Linked DNA regions of Alligator mississippiensis. The protein of the gene in region 2 interacts with the protein of the main gene of each other region in a pairwise test. Links are inferred from orthologs where the notes say so. Each region holds a gene or a part of one and is shown on either strand. Other genes may lie near its edges.

Evidence for each region.
Region 1: the proteins of QKI (region 2) and SNRPA interact in binary tests that used the Homo sapiens proteins (3 or more experiments, as listed by UniProt). The link is inferred for Alligator mississippiensis from reciprocal best matches to the Homo sapiens genes QKI and SNRPA.

The regions. Positions count from the first base shown.
Region 1 is NC_081838.1:2,383,765-2,393,088, reverse strand, and holds SNRPA (U1 small nuclear ribonucleoprotein A), read right to left. Parts: upstream 3,735-9,324; 5' UTR 3,628-3,734; intron 3,318-3,627; 5' UTR 3,307-3,317; coding exon 3,234-3,306; intron 3,139-3,233; coding exon 2,966-3,138; intron 2,883-2,965; coding exon 2,706-2,882; intron 2,591-2,705; coding exon 2,420-2,590; intron 1,980-2,419; coding exon 1,891-1,979; intron 1,799-1,890; coding exon 1,639-1,798; 3' UTR 1,273-1,638; downstream 1-1,272. Other genes in the region: ACTMAP (actin maturation protease), read left to right, coding at 4,060-4,259, 4,376-4,444, 4,590-4,714, 4,820-4,949, 5,221-5,291, 5,559-5,869. UniProt on the Homo sapiens protein: Component of the spliceosomal U1 snRNP, which is essential for recognition of the pre-mRNA 5' splice-site and the subsequent assembly of the spliceosome. U1 snRNP is the first snRNP to interact with pre-mRNA.
Region 2 is NC_081824.1:140,776,411-140,786,183, reverse strand, and holds the start of QKI (KH domain-containing RNA-binding protein QKI), read right to left. Parts: upstream 4,300-9,773; 5' UTR 3,910-4,299; coding exon 3,768-3,909; intron 1-3,767. UniProt on the Homo sapiens protein: RNA reader protein, which recognizes and binds specific RNAs, thereby regulating RNA metabolic processes, such as pre-mRNA splicing, circular RNA (circRNA) formation, mRNA export, mRNA stability and/or translation.

The DNA.
Region 1 (9,324 bases), on a different chromosome or scaffold from region 2:
GAGCAGCCCCAGCACAGTGGGGCCCTTGTCTGCTCTTCCCAGCGGCAAAGGGGCTGGGGGTAGGAGGGGAAAAGCAAGACCTCCTCCAGGCTCGGCTCCTATTGGGCTAGCCGGCTGGGAGGGGGGAGCCCAGAGAAGCCCCACAAGCAGGCAGGGACACAGAACCACCCGCTGTGCCCCCCCACCATGCTCTGGAGGGCAGGGCTATGAGTTAGAGACCTCAACACGTTGAAGGAATGGGCCAAAATAAATCTCATGAGGTTCAACAAGGACAAGTGCAAAGTCCTGTGCTTCGGGCACAATCCCCTGCACCGGGACAGGCCAGGGGCGACTGGCTGCTCTGCAAAGGACCCGGGGGGGGGGACGGGGACAGGAAGCAATAAGCTGAACAGGAGCCAGCAGTGTGCCCTCGTTGCCGAGAAGGCAAATGGGATCCTGGGCTGCATTGGTAGGAGCAGTGCCAGCAGGTCGAGGGCAGTGTCTTCCCTCTATTCGGCACTGGGGAGGCCACATCTGGAGTCCGGTGTCGTTTTGGCCCCCCCCACTACAGAAAGGATGTGGACATACTGGAGAGTCCAGCAGAGAGCAATGAAAATGCAGGGCTGGGGGACAGGACTGGTGAGGAGAGGCTGAGGGAAATGGGCTGATTCAGTCTGCAGAAGAGAAGACTGAGGGGGATCGACTAGCAGCCTTCACCTCCCTGCAGGGGGGTGCAAAGAGGATGGAGCTGGACTGGTCTCAGTGGGGGCAGATGACAGGAGCAATGGGCTCAAGCTGCAGCAAGGGAAGTTGAGGTTGGATACTAGGAAAATGAGGCTGGCGAAGAGAGGTGGGATGATGCAGTTGGGGCTGGTCCTGCTTTCAGCAGGGGGCTGGACCAGGTGTGACCTCTTGGGGTCCCTTCAACCCTCATTTTCTGAGTGTATGCTTTGCTCCCCCCAGCATGTTTGAGCCCCCAGTTCAGGGCAGCAGTGCACAGAGAAGGGGCTGGTGGGGGCTCTGTATGTTTCCCTTGAAGAATAAGGTGTTGCAGGGGCTGGCTCCATAGACGGACTGTCCCCATCCCCATTGCTGGCAGTGGCTGCGCTCCCAGCCCCGTTAGATGCCCTCGTGGCCAGCCAGTCCACGGCGCAAAATCCCGGGATCAGGTAGCAGCTGCTGGAACAGCAGGGAGACTGGGGTGTCCCAGCAGGACCAGTGGGCAGTGCACCCCGAAGCGCCCCCCACCCAGCACCTGGACCCGGGTGAAGGAAGGGGCAGCACCCACCGACCTCTAAAACAAAACAACTTTATTACACAGCGGGAAGCTCCAGGTGCAATGTCTGAGCACCAGACCCTGGGTACAATGCTTTCCATGAGGCCATCAACTGTCTCCCTGCCCTCCCCCACCCACCCGGTCCCGGTCTCCAGGGGCTGCCTTGCTCTACCAAGGCTGGCTCAGCTGCTGGTGGGCATCCGGGGCACTTACCCGCTGGGAGCAAGGGGCTGCTGCGAGTCAGGCACGGTGCATAAGGCTCTGGGTGCCAGGATGGGCCAGCCTGGGAGCACTTACCTGACAGTCAGTACAAACAACATGGGGAGAAAGGGGAATGGGGGCAGCCCTGAGGGATAAGACCGGGACGCGGGGAGGCCATGGCCTCACTTCTTGGCGAAGGAGATCTTCATGGCATTGTTCTGGGTGATCTTGAAGCCCTGGAGGGCGTCGCGGGCGGCCCCGGCCTGCACCTCGTTATCGAACTCCACGAAGGCGATGTCGTGGCGCCCTGGCACCAGCCGCACTTCCTTGAACCCGGGGAACCTTGCAGGGGAGGAAGGGGGAGCAGTGAGGGGCAGCCTCGGCTGCTGGCACCGTCGCTTCCCGCCCCAGCCCCCCTCTCCCCCTAGACTCACTGGTTGAAGAGCATGGAGAGCATCAGCTCGTTGGTCTCCTCGGGCAGGTTGGTGAGGAAGAGGATGTGGTTGGGTGGATTCTCTGAGACCTGCGGGGAGAGGGGCCGGTCGGAGCGGGGAGGGCGGGGGCTGGCATCCCCCTGGCCGGCCGGATGCAAGCAGCACCAAGTCCAAGGACCCGCAGCAGGGACAGGCACTTGCCAGCATAAAGTCCTCCCGCAAGACGAGAATCAAGACTGGCAAAGACGTCACCAGCCAAGCTCCAGCAGGGCCGGCTTCTCCAGGACAGGGACCTGCAGCCCTTAGGCACCCCATAGCCCCAGCCCAGGTGGCATTAGAGCAAGGAGCTCAGCACCAGGTCCTGCTGCCCCCAGCCCCAGCCACGACAGCAAGGCCACGACTCCACTCGCCCCTGGGGAGAAGGGTCCTTCGCCCTCCCCTGCAACAAGGAAGCTTCACCATCCGGAGCCACGGGTGAGTTTGGACAAGACCGAGGGGAGCCCGAAGCCCGGGCACACGCGGCACTCACCGGCTGGGCAGGAGGCATCTGGCCGGGCATCATCTGCTGAGGGGCCATGCCGCCGGGCGCCATGCCTCCGGGAGCCATGCCGGGCGGCGGGATCATGCCGGGCGGGGGCATGTAGGGCGGCTGGCCTGGCATGTGGTGCATCATGCGGGGAGCCTGGTTCATCGCCATCCCCTGCAGGCGGAGGAGAGGACAGCGGCTTAGCCGCAAGGTCCCCGTGCCGGGCACGGCCGTAGCACCCCTGGATGCCAAGAGGGCCCGGCGGGGGCCGCCCCAGGCCTTGACTCACCGGCACGGCGCCCTGCACGGCGTTGGCCACGGGGGCGGCCGCTCCCGGCATGGCCTTCTTGGTCGTCGGCGTCTCCTGGCCCTTGGGCTTCCTCTTCTCCCGCTTGCGGTCGCGCTCCACGTAGGTGCCCTTCATCTTGGCGATGATGTCCGAGTCCGTCTTGGCGTACTGGATCCTCTGGGGAGCAGAGGCCGGGTCAGCGCGGGCGGGGGACGACACCGCCTGGGTCCCCCCCCCGGGCCGCGGGCCCCCGCGCTCACCATGGGCTTGTCGTAGAAGGGGAAGCCCTGCATGGAGCGCAGGGCGTTGGTGGCGCTGCTGATCTCCTTGAAGATGACGAAGGCCTGGCCCCTCATCTTGAGGCTGCGCGACACCAGGATGTCCAGGATCTGCCCGAACTGGGAGAAGATGGCGTACAGGGACTTCTTCAGCTCTGGGGGAGGCAAACGTGGTGGGGGGGGTTAGGCATGGACCCGGCGGGGGTGTCCCGTCCCCCCCCCACCCGGTGCCATCCCTGGGGCCCCTCACCGTCCTTCTTGATCTTCTCGTTGAGGTTGTTGATGTAGATGGTGTGGTTGGGGCGGGCTTCCTGCACGGCCATGGCGGCGGGGTCTGCGGGGGGGGAGCGCGGGGGTCAGCTGGGGGGGAGGGGGTCCTGCCTCCTAAGGGGTCGTGGCCCTTTAAGGGCAGGCCCCGCAGCAGCCCGGACCCAGGGGCACCCCGGGGAGGGGGGGCACCTGGCCCAGACGCCCCCTCCCCCCAGGAGGCGGCTCCACCGGAAGTGGAGGGCTCCCCGTGGCAATGGGAGCTCCCCCAGAAGGGAGGCCTGTGGGGGGGGGCTCTCGGCTCTCCCCCCTCCCCGGAAGTGCCCCCCCAAGAGAGGGCAGCCCGGATGGGGGTCCCGCGGCCCCCCCGCTCTCACCGACGCCGCCGGGCCCGTGGCGCAGCGCGGCCGCCGCAGCGAAAGGGCGCGCGGAGACTGGCCCCGCTCCCTCGGCGCGGGCGGACCAATGGGAGGGCCGCAGCCTCCCCCTGACGAGCCTATCGATGCGGGGCGTCGGGCAGCCAATCCGCTCTGTCCCCACCCCGTCCCTCCCTCCCTCAGCGAACGGGCCAATCCGAGGGCTCCTCTCCGCCCCCGAGCCGGCAGCTGGCTGTCAGTCAAGGCCGCGGCCGCTTCCTATTGGCCGGCCGCGCTCCACGGCGCGAGGGCACATGACCGCCGCGAGGCCCCCTCCACGGGCGCCGCCATCTTGGGCGGGCAGCGCGACCCCGTCCCCCTCCCCCAGCGAGGTCATGCCCTTTGCCCTCTGACCTCTGGCCAATCTCCCTTTGCCCCCCCTTCCCCCTGCCCATGGCCCATAAGGGCGGGGTGGGGTTGCCCCCTCCTGCCCCACCCCCTCCCCCTCGTCCTCCCCCACCCCCATCCCTGCCTCCCCTGCCCCCATCGGGGGGCGCCAAGGCCCACTTCCTGAAGGCGGCCCTGGAGCGTGCGGCCCCCCCGCCCGGCACCGGGGATGACGTGCGGGAGCTGCTGGGGCACCGGCGCGCCAGGTCGGGGTCGCCACAGTGTGGTGGTGGGGGGTCTCGGGGCGGGGGGGGTAGCCCCCTTGCCCCCCGAGACGTCTCCCTGCACGGGGCGCTGAGTGCGGCGGGCGTCTCTCTTCCAGCTTCAGCGGGCGGCGGAAGTGGCTGCTGTACCACCGCCCCGTGCCGTCCTTGATCCAGGAGGGGCCCCAGTGAGTACCGCAGCCGCGGCAGCCGAGACCCCACAGGGGCCCAGGACAGCCGAGATGGCACAGGGGCCCAGGGTGCAGCCGTGGGGCTGGGGGAATGCCCCCCTCAGCCCTGGGACCCCCCTCGACCCCGGCCCCGTGCCCGCAGGTGCGGGCTGGTGGCGCTGTGGATGGCGGGCGCCCTCCTCCGCCTGCCCCGGAGCGTCTCGCTGGAGCGCATCGTGCAGGCGGCGCTGGACAGAGGCTACACGGCGCAGGGGGAGATGTTCTCAGGTCAGCCCCTGCCTGCCCCGGGTTGGCGTCGGAGATGCCCCGGCTCCGGGGAAGGGGTGACGGAGCCTGGAGCAGGGTCTGAGACACGTCCGCCTCCTCCCCCAGCGGCGGACATGGCGAAGCTGGCGGCAGAGGTGTTCCCGTGCCGGGCGGAGCTGCTCACGGGAGGCTTGGAGGGAGCCAACCGGGACAGGATCCTTTGCCACCTTGCTGCTGGCTGCCCCGTGCTGGTGCCGTATCCTTCTCCCACGTGGCCCTCCAGCCGGGATGGGCCCACGCAGCCGTGGCAGGCGGCGTCTGGGTCCCGCCGGGGGGGGGGGGGGGGTGATGTGTCCGCTGTGTCTTTGGAGGGGTAATGGGGGGGGCATCGTGGCTCTCCCTCCACCACCTCCAGGTCTCCCTCAGCCTCGCTCAATGCCCCCGGGCTGCGGAGGTGGCTCTGGGAGGGGTGGCGACGGCGTGGGCATCCCCTCAGGCCCCCCGCTGCAGCCTTGACGAGCGCCCAGCTACGACGAGGACTCTAACCACGAGCCCTGCCGCCGGCGCGGATACAAAGCCCACTGGGCTGTCGTTTCGGGTACGGTCCTGCCTGGCCTGGGTGCCACGGGGCTGGTGAACTGTGCCAGGGGTCTGGGAGCCGTGTCCGGCAATTGCCACGGGCTGGTCCTCACCCCAGGGCGTAGCGGGGCTCTTAGGTGCGGGAGTGCTCAAAGCCTTGGGGGGTGGAAATCTGTTTCAGACTGCGGCCCAGGGGGGGCAACAGCCCACCACCCCTTTGGGGCCAAAGGGCCACATCCTGCTGCTTCCAGGAGCGGAGCTGGGCTGACAGCCGCTGTGCCCGCAGGAGCCCTTCTGGGTCTGAGGCCCGATGCGCCAAGCCCGCCCTGCCGCGAGGACGAGGAGATCCCGGGGCTCTTCCACCCCCGGGGGCCGGGGCCCCTGCCGGCGGGCGTGGAGGAGACCTACCTGCTGGCCAAGCAAGGCAAGAGCTGGCGCTACCAGCTGTGGGGCTACGGGCAGCTGCAGGAGAGCAACGCTCAGCTGACGGACTTCAGCCCCCGGCGGGCGGGCGACGGCAAGGTCTACATCGTGCCCGCGGGCGGCCTGCAGGAGGGGCTGTGCGGCCAGGCCGTGCTGCTGCACCCCAGGCCCTGACGCCAGGTCAGCAGGGACGTGCCCAGCCCCGGACAGGGCCAAGGGGACGCCTGGGTTCCCCACCTTGAGCTCCAGGAGGTGAGGAGGGATCCCGGCCTCCTTTATCCGGTGCTCTGAGGCAGGAGGCACGCTGCCCCGCCAGGCAGGGAAGGGCACCTGGGGACCGGCCCGTGCTTCCCCGGGGAGGGAGAGGAATGCCAGCCTACACCTGCTCTGCTGCAGAAAGACCTGCGGCCAGATCTGCGGCTCCAGGATTGGGCTCAGAAGTCAGCTCAAGACCCGTCCACGAGCCGCGGTAGACCCAGGGACTGCTGGCACCCCGTTTATCCTAATAAACGCACTACTTACCTTCTGCCTTGCCCACGGCTCTCACGGTCCAGGGTCACACCACGGCTTCATTCGGTCGAGCGCTCTTCCTTTCCTAGCTGTTTTCTCCCTTTCGTGACTTGCCCGCTCCTCCTGCTTGGCCCTTTAGAGGCTGTTCCTATCCTTGAGTTGTGGTTATCGGGTATTGATTTAAAGCCCTGTCTGCATCGCTGAATCCTACAGCCGTGGGGATGGAAGGGAGCTTCAGAGGTCGCATCCAGTCTAGCCTCTGGCCGGAGGAAGGATCGGCCCTGTGCAAACCGGCCAGGACTAATCCAGCGTGTATCAAATACTGTTGATCCTGACACAGTGGATCTGACGCCAGAGTTTGCTGCAGGAAAAGCAGCGGGGCTGCAGCCGCCAACGTCGTGCTGCTGTGACCTGTCAGTAATTGCTGAAGAGCCCCCAGGCCGAGGCTGCACCCCCGCTACAGAGGGGACTGTGCCAGGCTGAGCATCTGCCCCAGTGCAATGTGGGGCTGAGCCTGAGCACAGGTGCGGGACCCTGCAGATTGCATTGGCATAGTCCGGTCCTCATCCCCAGCCTGAGCTGCAGGTAGCACCTCTGGGGGGGCTTAAAACCCCCCTGACACATGGACGGGGCGTCCCCCCACCGATGCCTGGTGTCCACCCTGCGGACCCCTGCTCTGCCCTGGAGGAAGTGTTTCTGTATCAGGTGGAGGGACCGGAGGCAGTTGTGTTCAGTGTCATAGATTCATAGATTGTCGAGTCAGAAGGGACCAAATGGATCATCGTGTCTGAGCCCCTGCCCCTGGCAGGAAAGAGGACCGAGGTCAGACGACCCCAGCCAGGTGACTATCTATCCTCCTCTTGAAGACCTCCAAGCTAGGTGAAAGCACCACCTCTCTTGGGAGCCCATTTCAGATCCTGGCCACCCTTACTGTGAAAAATTTCTTCCTAATATCTAACCTAAATCCCCTCTCAACTAGTTTACACCTGTTATTCCTAGTCACTCCCTGGGGCACCCTAGTAAACAGCACTTCCCCTATTCCCCGTTGACCTCCCCTAATAAATTTATAGGCGGCCACAAGATGTCCCCTCAGCCATCTCTTGTGAAGGCTGAAGAGAATCAGGTCTTTCAACCTCCCCCCGTAGGGTCTATCACGAAGGCCACTCATCATGCGAGTGGCCTCCTCTGGACCCTCTCCAGATTCCCTGCATCTCTCTTGAAGTGCGGCGCCCAGAGCTGGACACACTACTCCAACTGCGGCCTGGCCAGTGCCGCATAGAGGGGGAGCATCGCCTCCTTTGATCTATTAGTCATGCAGCTGCTAATGCACTTCAAGATGTGACTGGCCTTGTTGATGGCCTCGTTACACTGCCGGCTCATGTTCATCTTGGAGTCAATTATGACTCCAAGATCCCTCTCTGCCTCCGAGCTACTGAGAAGGACACTCCCCAACCTATAGGTGTGCTGGGGGTTCCTCCTTCCCAGGTGGAGTACCTTATATTTATCTTTATTAAATTGCATCCTATTTCTCTCTGCCCATTGATCCAACCTGTCCAGGTCAGCCTGAATCTGCTCCCTGCCCTCCTGTGTACTAACTTTGCCCCATAACTTGGTATCATCAGCGAACTTGGAGAGGGTGCTCTCCATGCCCTTGTCCAAATCGCTGATGAAGATATTGGATAATATCTGTTGGAGGACCGAACCCTGCGGGACCCCACTGCCCACCTCCCTCCAGGCCGAGAAGAAACCATCCACCACCACTCTGGTGCGGTCCCTAAGCCAGTTGGCCACCCACCTGACCGTGTAGGCGTCCACTCCACAGTCTGCTAGCTTCCCAACGAGGACAGGGTGCGAAACTGTGTCAAAGGCCTTCCTAAAGTCCAGGAAAATGACATCAGCCTCGGCTGGAAAGCAGGGTGAGTGCACACTCAGCACCTTCGCGGATGACACCGCGCTGGGGGGAGTAGCAGATGCGCTGGAGGGCAGGGCTGGGATCCAGAGGCTTTGACGACCAAAAGGAATCTCATGACTGAGGTTCAATTAAGGACAAGTGCAAAGTGCTGCGTTTAGGACAGAGCAGTCCCATGCACCGGGACAGGCTGGGGGTGACGGGCTGGGCAGCAGCTCTGCAGAAAAGGACCTGGGGCTGACAGTGGGCAATAAGAGGGATATGAGCCAGCAGTGTGCCCTTGTTGCGGCATCCTGGGCTGCATCGGTAGGAACGTTGCCAGCAGATTGAGGGCAGTGATTCTTCCCCTCTATGGGGCACTGGGGAGGCCACATCTGGAGTCCCTTGTCCAGCTGTGGGCTCCCCACGACAGAAAGGGTGTGGATACGTTGGAGAGAGTCCAGCGGAGGGCAAGAGCAGGGGGTTGGAATAGATGTGACCTAAGGGCCCCTCAAACTGAATTTTCTATGATCTCCAAAATCAATTCATTTTGCTGCCTCTTCCAGCCATGGCTCCGTGTCCTCCTCTCTGCCCTGGGGAGCGCAGGCGCTTGCCCTCCTTGCTGCAACTGCCCTTCGGATCCCTGCAGCCCGCTCCCAGGGCCCCTCCAGCGCCTTTTCCGCCGTCTGAACCAGCCCAGTGCCACCTGCTGCTCTGCTCCGCTCCTCCCCGCCTGGGCTGCACTTTCTGAGCCCATGGGCATCTTTGTTGCCGCCTCTGGACCCTTGTTAGCTTCTCCATGGCCTTGCTCAAAGCCTGGAGCCCACCCAGGCCTTGTCCCGGTGCCTCCCAAAAGCCTCTGATGGCATCCATCCCGTACCGAGGGTCCTCTCTTGCAGAGCAGCTGGGTGGCATGGACATCGGCAGCCATTTTTTTATGGTGCATTGCCCCCTCCCAGTCCCATGAGCTTGGCGCTGCCTGCACTAGCCTGGAGGAGCGGGCGGGCCTCCGTGCCAACCCCAGCAGCCGTGTGAGCTGGGCAGGCTGGGACACATGAGGGCCACCAGGGGGCGCCTTGTGCACATGGCACAGCCGGAGCTGCGGATCCGGATCGGGCCCATCAGGGTGCCCCCTCCTTGCCCGGATGCCCCTTTGCGCCCATGGAGCTGCGTGGGCTGAGACCAAACCAGCTCATAACTCCCCCAGGGGTGCATGTGCTGGGGTTTATTT
Region 2 (9,773 bases):
ATGATTACTGACAAACAACAAATACTAACAACCTTCAAGTTTGCTAAATTGAGCATTCTTACTAACTGTATATCACAATGTTCAAGTGTAGCATTTTCTATGTAGAGCTACAAACAGTTATGGCCAGAATAAACTTTTTATCCTTCTCAAAACAGTAAAAAAGATGAACTTGTTCAAGCCAGTTGTAGTTTAAGAACTTTGTACTGCATCTTTTAAAAGTATGAGCAGAGTAGCTTTCATTTATTTTAAAAGCTTGGAATATATTTACAAAATTCAACATGTATATATTGTTAAATAACCATGAACTACAAGAAACAATGAATAACGTATTCATTTTGTGCAATGAGACATATTTTAAAAGCAGCAGGAAAACTAAGCTACAAAAAATGCCCATTGTGTAGCTTAAAATAAGGTGCAAGTATCTCAGAAACTAGAACTGAAGTGCAGAAAATTCAGGTCACATCTGATGGTGCAAACAATTACAGGAAATACAGCCCACTCCAGTCAGGAAGCACCCCCTCTTCCCACAGGTTTGCACTAGTCTGATAAAAACAATCTAACTTCCTACTTATTATGCTGTCCATTTTAAACATCCTTGATAATCTACAAAAGCATTCTTTATGCTTATGGAGATGAAAAGACTACAATTTGAAAAATAATTGTAAGATGAGCAAAAACAATGTTAATGCATCTTCCAAGCAAGGTGCATTTTTAATCAACCTGCACAATCTTAACTTTAAGAGTTTACTGTAGTATTGAACAGTAACTGTGCTTGTATTAAAAAAAAAAGTTATCAAATTTTACTTTCATCATGTTTTGAGATCAAGATTCAGAAAAACATTGAAAATGGGGAGATGTTTTAGATAATGAAGTTCATAGTAAGAGATATTTTGTGTGCCATGTAATTATATGTCTAAATCCTAAAATAAAGTAAAACAAACTCCAAAAAACGCCAAGGCAATAATTTTATGCCTGTTTGAATTTCTGCTTCTGATCTGGCAAACCATATAAGATCAAATGCAAACCCATGTGTTCTTTTTAAATACTGCCACGTGCATATAAAAAAAAAAAAATCTAATCAGCAAAAATAATTCTCGAATTCTTTTCTAAAAAAAAAATCAAAAAAAAAATCAGGATTTCTCAGGACTTTATGTAAACGTTCTTTCTTTAATTAAGAGGGCAGAAGCAGAAAACTGGACTCCCTAGTCCAAGAGGCCCCTTCTGCAAACAATAGACGACACTGCTAATTCTTACAGTTTTACTACTCCAAAAGCATGTATAGGATCTCCAAGTTAACATGGATTGTATTCCATGTTCTGTGATAACTTTTTAAAAGATATCCCAGATTGAATCTCCCTACTAAAATGCAAATTAATCTGTTGAAAAAGTAAAACAAATAACTAAACCAAATTATTTCGGGGGGGGGAGGGACGGACTACTTCAACTCCTTTTCTCTTATTCCTTCCCCTCTAAATGTCCTGTAAATAATCAGGTGTTACTTTGCAAAATACATTTGACAGTGATATAAAAGTAATTTTTAAAGTACTTTAATTATTGTGCCTCAAAATAAATACTCTCTCTCTTTCTCTCTCTCTCTCTCTGAGGCCTCTTCCTAATACACTAAGAAACATGAAATCTGATATTGCTTGTGGTGGAAATGTTCCTTCTGTTCCCAGAGCAGAGATTTTAGTATTTCTTCCAGCCCTATCATGCCTGTTGTATAAAAAAATTGCCTAAACTTTTCCAAGGTGTGCTCACTAGGGTTTTATGCACAGTATTAATGTGGTATTTTCCTAAGATACATAAGCACAAATTTTAAGTCCAAAAATCCTCAAATTTCACTGTCTTCTAGTAAAGCTGCTAATTTTAGTATTAAGTTAGTAAAGATCTTACAAATCCATTCTCATCTTTCAGAAAAAGAAAATAACTGGCGCCCCTTAGTGTTCACATTTTGAAACCTTCATATATTTCACTGGATTTGCATGCAACATTTTTTTGACATTCCAAAAAGTTTTCTGCCTCCACAACTCTTCCAGCCAAGCACCAACACAAACAGGAAAAAGCAAGACAACTTAAAGGGATAGCAGAACTTTTCCTTGGGCCATGTAGTACAAAATAAAAGTCTGGCAGAGGGGGGAGGAGGAATGGGTAAAGAACAGCCTGACTCCTCAATAACTTCAAAATAAACTTTGGTTCCAGTGTTTGTCTCGGGTTTATGAAACTCTGCTAAACCAGAGACTTCCAGGATTCAACAAAATTCAAAAGATGCAGTGACCTCATATATACCTCCTCTTTCAATACCTTTTGACACTGGAGATGTTTCTCTCCCTTTTGTTCTCAGGACAGACCAACTTTGTAGGCCGCCTCCTTCTGAGATTATACGAACTTGAAAGGGGTATGGGATTTTAAAAATCCACCATCAAGCCTCTGGGAAGATTATTGATGCTTAAAATGCATCTTGTTGATCCAGTTTCTTCTGAATTAATATTTTCCTTACTAATTAACCTTCTGAAGATCAGGGTGACCCTAACTGTACGTTACAATTTTCCTTCTGACATCCATGCATGGCCAGCCTAGATCTGAAAACTAAACTGAGCCCTCAGAAGCACAGAACTAAAAACATCCAGACCTATGCTGCTGCTTCAAGTCCAATTTTGTTTTTAAATACTTCAAGTGCCCTTTTCATCTCCCATCCATTCCTCTCATTAACTGAGGAAGGGTGGGTGGGTGTGTGTGTGTACGTACATACATACACACACACACACACACACACACACACACACCCACCCACCCACCCACCCCTACGTGGTCCCACAACCACATTCTTACATGTGGATTTTTTCCTCCTCTTAAACCCTGACTCCTTCCCCGAACTGGCCGCTTTACTCCATTTTAAGCAAACAAAATGCAAATGCCAGCACAAACCCCATGGGCCCCAAACCCTCAAAATGCCTCAACTGCTTAAGACCCACCCCCCCAAGAAAAAAAAAACACCATGGAAGTTGGAACTGTGACAAAACCTCCCACTCCTGCACAGAGAGGAACGCCTGCAAGAGTGTCATTCTACAGAGCAGGTCTCCATGTTGGGCCCCCTTTCCCTAGCAGGAATAGGGAGAGAGAAAAAAAAAGAAAGAAATCTGTGCAGCCCAAGCAGGGAAGCTAAAACCTCTCTGAAAGCAGGAACACACACACACACACACACCCCTCCAGCCCCAAAGACCACACACACACCCTTCCCTCCAGCCCCAAACACACATGCACACACCCCTCCTCCGAGCCACAGACACAGACTCCCCCCTCTAGCTGCAAATAAACACACACACACACACACACACCCTCCCCACCAGCCACACACACATATACATACCCTTCCAGCCCCAAACACACACACCCCCCTCCTTGCAAACCATAGACTCCCCTCTGGCCGCAAGCAAACACGCAAACACACACACACACTTAACCACACAAACACCCCACCCCCTCCCCCAGCCCCGCCCGGGACGAGGAGCTGCGAGCGCCGCGCACGTTATTTCCACATGAGATCACTGCCCCGCCGTGGGGCCGGCCCGGCCCGAGGCCGCCAGGCCCGGGACAGCCCTCCCGACCCGTCCCGTCCTGTCCCGCGGGCGCCGCCTTCCAACTTAAGTGCGCTGAGGAAGGGGCGCCCCCCCGGGGCCTTGCAGCCCCTCACTTCCCCTTTGTTCCCGCCGAGGCCAGCCGGGGAGGGGGGAGGGGGGAGGGGGGAGGCGGCGTGAGGCCGGTCTTACCTTCGTCCAGCAGCCTCTCGAGGTGGTTGAAGATCCCGCAGAAGTTGGGCAGGCTACTCATCAGCTTCTTGTCGTTCATGAGCTGCATCAGGTAATCGGGGCTCGGCTTCGGCTTCTCCTTCGTTTCCATTTCCCCCACCATATTCCAAGCGCGCCGCCGGCGCCCCCCGCCCGCCCGCCCGGCCCGCCCCGGAGGCGGCCGCGAGGAGCGAGCGAGCGAGAGACACGAGCTCGGGGCCCCCCTGGGCTGGGTCGGCCGGGCGGGCGGGCGGCGGGGACTACTCCGCGGCGGCCCCGCGCCCGGGCAAATCGACCCGGCTCTGGCCTCGGCGATGCCCCTCGCTCCAACCGGGGTGCGCGGCCGCCGCTCGCTCCTTCCTTCCTGCCGCCCTTCCCGGGAGCCGCCGCCGCTGCGCTGGGTGCCTCCGCCCGCCCGCCCGCCCGCCCGCCGCCGCTGCCGCCGCCGCCGCCTGTGGCTGGTGAGTGTTAGCCTCGCCGCCGCCTCCTCACTTCTCCTCACTTCGCTCCGGAGTTCGCTTCAGTTCAGGCTGCACCGACAGCGGCAGCGGCAGCCGCGGCGGCGGGGGGGAGGAGCGGGGGCGGGCGCAGGGGCGGGGCGGCCGTTAGGCGGGGAGCAGCGCGAGCGAGCGGCGCCACTTGGCGGGGACCGCCCCCCCCTCTGTGCCCCCCCCCTCCGGCGCCGCGCGCAACTCCAACGGGCGGCGCCGTGCGCGCGTGCGCACACTGGAGTGGGAAGGGGGGGTGTTCTTCGCGGCTCTGACCCGGCACGTGAAGGGCGCTGCGTGACGCAGGGGTGGGGAAGTACTTTCTGAACGCGCCCCTGCTACTGATTCTGCTTGGGTGGGTGGAAGGCGGGGCGGGGCGGGGCGGGGCGGCGTGACGTATGACGGGAGGAGAGGAGCGGGCGCATGCGCGCCGCCGCCTTCGCACGCTGCTTGCATAGTGCGCGAGCGGAAAGGGGGCAGTGCGCATGCGCGCCGCGGGAGTGGCGCGACTGGCAGCCTTTAAAGTGGGGAGGTTGTGGGGCCCCTCCCACGCTACTTCTCCCCTCTCAGCCGGGCGGACGGGGTGGGGTGGGGTGGGGGCCCCGCGCCCCACTGGGCTGAGGGGCTGCAGGCCTCGAGCCTCTAATGCTTCTCACGTCTGACCAAAAAAAAAAGGCGTAGCCCTTCCTCAATTTTTCTCCCGTCCTAATGCCCCCCCGACATTAAAGGGACGGGCGTAAGGAGGAGTTGGGCTAGAGATGGGCAAAATATGGCCCACGGGCCGCATGCAGCCAGCGCGCCTAGGTCTTGCAGATGAAATTATCATATTGGAAGCCCGAAAGGGTCGGATTTGCTGAAAAACTATGCAAATACATATGCAAATAAGTTAAGTTGTCCTCTTCACTTTATGTTGTTCGCTGTAACATGCCGATGAGGGAGTTATTGAGAACTGGATCAAAGTTGAAGCTTTATTTTGAGGCGAGCCGTCATAAGAAAGCACTGACCTCAAAGTCAGGTGAGACTCCCTGAGAGTGACTTGAGTTTTGCACAGGCTACATGGACACGCTGCCTTGAAAATAATAGTACATTTTACTGGGTCAGTTTCACTGACAACCCTCTACACTTTTAGCTTCTCTCACTCCTTGGAGCTTCAGCCCAGCAGAGACTCCCTGTGCCTGATGAAGGGCAACTGCGCCTGAAAGCTTGCTAAGACCTTTTTTCCAACTATTCAGTTGATCTAATAAAAGATATCACATCTACCCAAAGAGCCTTGCCTGCCCAGTACATGTTGAACACTTAGTATTCTTGATTGTACATTGTACAAGAGCTGAAATCATCATACAGATATAATTATCATACGCCTGGCCACAATGCTGCCAACTGATTGGATTCGGCCCGTGTTGCTCTTCATGGGGCTGAGCCCACCCATGCCCATCCAGGGCGGTCCACGCCACGCTCCCACCCACACCCATTAAGGCACAGTCCCAGCCAGCATGTACAGCTTCCTGGTGGGGCTGTTCCCACTGCTGCTGCTGCAGCTGCCTATATACTGCTCAGCTCCCACTGCCTCCAACAGCTCCTCCTCCTGTTCCAGCTGTGCTGCTCTGGGCAGCAGGTAGCATGGGGAAGCTGTGGGGACATGCTAGGCACCACATGCCCAGCTAGGAGTGGAGAAAGCTGCAGCCAGGCAGCGCCTGCCTCAGCATGCAGGGGCTCCAGCTCCAGTTCCTGGCCCCCTTCCACCTGCTCTGCCCACCCAGTGCAATGAGCAGCCACCTGCAGGCAGCTGAGCACGTGGAAGGTGGCTGGGAGCTGGAGCCCTGCATGCTGTGGCAGGAGCCACCCAGCTGCAGCCTCCCCCATGCCTGGAGTGGCACAGCAAGCACAGAAGGAGGAGCTGCTGTAGGCAGGGGGAGCCAAGCAGTACCCAGGCAGCTCCAGGAGCAGCCCTACTAACAACCTGTGCACTGGCCAGGGCTGGGCAGTGCCATTGATGGGTGTGAGCAGGAGTGTAGAGCAGGTGGTGCTCAGCCCCATGTGGCGTACCATGAGGGCAGCCATGGGCTGGATGAGACAGCGGGGGGAAAACACACCTGCATCACCAGGGGCAGGCAAAATAAGGCCAGATCTAGCCTGCCACGCACTTCCATCTAACCCACGGCATCCACCAATTAATTTTACCCCACCCAGCCCTTCCACCCATGTGGGTGGGAGCGAGGAACCCATGTATACACCCCCCAAAATACTCTATTGCTACTCGCTCCTACCCTCAAGGGTGGAAGACACAGCTTTCAGGCGGGGCTGCTGCGGCCACTAGGAACCTTCTTGGCTTCCCAGGCATCCTGCTTGCTCCAGACACCAGGTAGGGAAGTGGCAGGGATGAAGGCAAAGCTGCAGCTAGGCAGGAGTGTGGGGCTGGAGCTGGCGGCAGCATGAAGCCAGCACCCAGAGAGGCCTGCAGCACAGAGCTTGGGTGGGCAGCATGTGGGTGTGAGGGAGGGTGGGGGGTAGGGGGACCCCCCATGTTCCACTCATGGTACACAGGCCCAGCAGGCAGCAGCAGCAGCAGGCAGGGGCGTGTGTGCCCGGCACAGGGACTGGTGACCAGCAGCATGTGGTTCTAGCCAGCACTACACATCATGGTGAGGAGCACAACCCCTGCCGGGCCATCTCTATCACCAGTGTTCCCCACCACACATACACAGCCTGGCACAGGAAGGAACCCCCACTCCTTATGAGGCTTCCCTCCTGTGCTGTACAACTGTGAGGCCTCCAGGTGCACGATGGGAAGCACCAGCGATAGAGACAGCCTGGTGCGGACTGCGCCACTCACCGCAATGTGCAGTGCTGGCTGGAGCCACGGGCCGCCAGGCATCAGCACCTCCGCCAGGCACAGGAGCCCCGAGCGCCCCTGCCTGCTGCTGCACCATGGTAGGAGTGTAGGGTGGGAATCCCCATGTCCCACCACCTTTCCTCACACCCCACAAATGCCACTCACCCACCCACACCCTGCACCCACACCTTCCCACATATACACACCCTCTAACATACCCTATACCCCCACACACAGCCACACCCACACAACTTCCCCACACACCCCACCATACACACACACCCCCAACCACATCCCCAACCCCACACATACCCCAACCACACCTCCCACACACAATATCCAAGACTAAGAATGTATGTTTTAGTTATTATGCAATCCTCTCTATAGTACACAAACCCAAATCATGACAAAAGTATTTCTTATAATAAAATTCATATATATTATAGTAGGTGTTAGACTTTTAGTGTACAATTTGTTTTTTTTCTGGTTTTAAGATGGCAATGCCCCCCCTCCAAAAAGGAATATTTCCAGGAGGCAAGGGGAGGGACTTCTAGTGGAAAAGTTGGGGGTCAAGGGTCATGGGTGGAACATCTGGTCCCAAGATGGCAACGGGGTGGGGGGGGCAGCAACTTTCAAGGGGAAGGGCTACCCATGTGGCCCTTGAAAGCTCACCAAACTTCGTTAAGCAGCCCTCCACCCAAAATAATTGCCCGCCCCTGTGCATCATGCCCCCCCTGGAGGTAGGTCTGCTGCATGTTCCCCCTATTCATGGACTGGCCACTCCTGAGCTACACTATTTCACTGGAAGTGAAATAGATATTTGATTTTCAGTATAGGATTTTTTTATCTATAATTTGTTAAAATGCTATCTTATGAAATATTCTCTGTGCGCAACCCTTGACAACTCACCAAAACTTGGTAAGTGACCCGCCACCCAAAATAATTGCCCACCCCTGAATTAGGCTGAATGTCCCCCTATTCAGTAACGTTCATTATATACAATATTAGTTCTGTTCCCAGAGAGGGGATAGCAAAGTTGAAATCTCAGTTTCTTCATTTAGATTCTTCAGTAGTATGTCACCTATATTCGAAGCATGGCTGTTAGAGGTGCATATCTACCCTGCCTTCTGCCTTTCATAGCCTAACTAAATAAGATATATATAGTACAGGCTTTCATGAACCCACATTCACTTCATCAAATTCTGTGAAAGTCGAATGAGAAGTAGAGTATGAAGTGATTAGAATACAATAGGCAGGAAAGCAGGGGGAGGAGGGATGCTAGGAGAGGCTTACAAGCAAAGAACCTATAGGAACAAAGGGGTCAGGAAAGTGAATCTAGGTAATGCGATAAGAATCTATAGTCCCTGCTTAAACCATACTTCGCACAGTCCAGCCTGTGGATGATTTCTTGTTCTACAATTTCTTGTTCAAACTGCTTTTTTTTTTCTTTTTTTGTTTTGTTTTGCCTGAGAACAGCAATCCTGTGGTCCAGGGAAGTTGAAGTGTTCTGCCACCGGCTCTTGTGTCTTCCTGCACCTGATGTCAGATCAGTGTTAAAATTGAAACAGGTTGTTTTGCTTTTTGCAAGTTTAAAGGGTTCCCCCGTCCTTGGCAAACCGTTCACATATTAGAAAAGCCTACTAAACTGTCTATCATACAGACAAGTTGGTCTTCAGGCTGCTATAATTAGGTCATTTTTAGATGCAAGTTATAATATACACTTGCTAAATTAAAGTTTCCATATTCAACTCTAAGAATGACTTATGATCTTAAAGTGCTTGAAGAATGCTTTATGAACATCATTGAGTGAGTGGGCTCTCTCTGTTTTAATAATTAAGTGAATTTAGAGCTTGTCAAATTGTCAGTTCTGAAGAACTAACTTTTGTAATAATAGAGTAGTGTTAAGTTCAGCAGGGATAGTACAGTTGTCCCCAACTTGCCTCACTTGGTATACTTTAATTGTGATCTGGAGGAACCACTTCCAGTGAAATAGTGTAGCTCAGGAGTGGCCAGTCCATGGCCCACATGCCATGAGTGAGAGGGGAAGGTGCTCAGTAAAGGGAGGTGCTGAAATGGAGGCAGAGGGTTTAAGCCTCCAGAGCATGGAGAAAGGCAGGAAACTTAGGAAAGAGGTGTCAGGTGTCACTGCAGAGAGGAAAGATAACCCTTTTCTGGCCCCTCAGTGACTGCCAAATTCAGGATTTTAGATCCTCACTGGTCTCATAACTGCAGCAGTTATGGGGCCAGGGAAGAGTTAACCTGCCTCTTGGTTCTGACACCTGCTCTAGCAACAGCATCCTGTCCCTGCTGTTCCACACAGCTGAAGGCTGGATCCACCCCCCCCCCCCCCCCCCCGGCCTCCATTCTGGTGCTGCAAACTCTTCTCAGGTATGCAGAGAAAAGAGGGGGACGGGGATTGAAATCTGAGCAGCACTGGGGAGGGGGCTGCACTTAACTTTGGTGTATATGCCAAAAAGATCAACACCACTGGTGGCCATCCAGTCTTTGAGCTTGTTCTTGATATCTGCTGAAATTGCCAAATTAAGCAAAAATGACTCATAACCCACACATTTTTAAGTTATGCACACACACGGATGTACTTTTTTTGTACATTAAAAAAAGAATGCTTATACAAAATTGGAGTGCCATGACAATAATTAGCTTGCA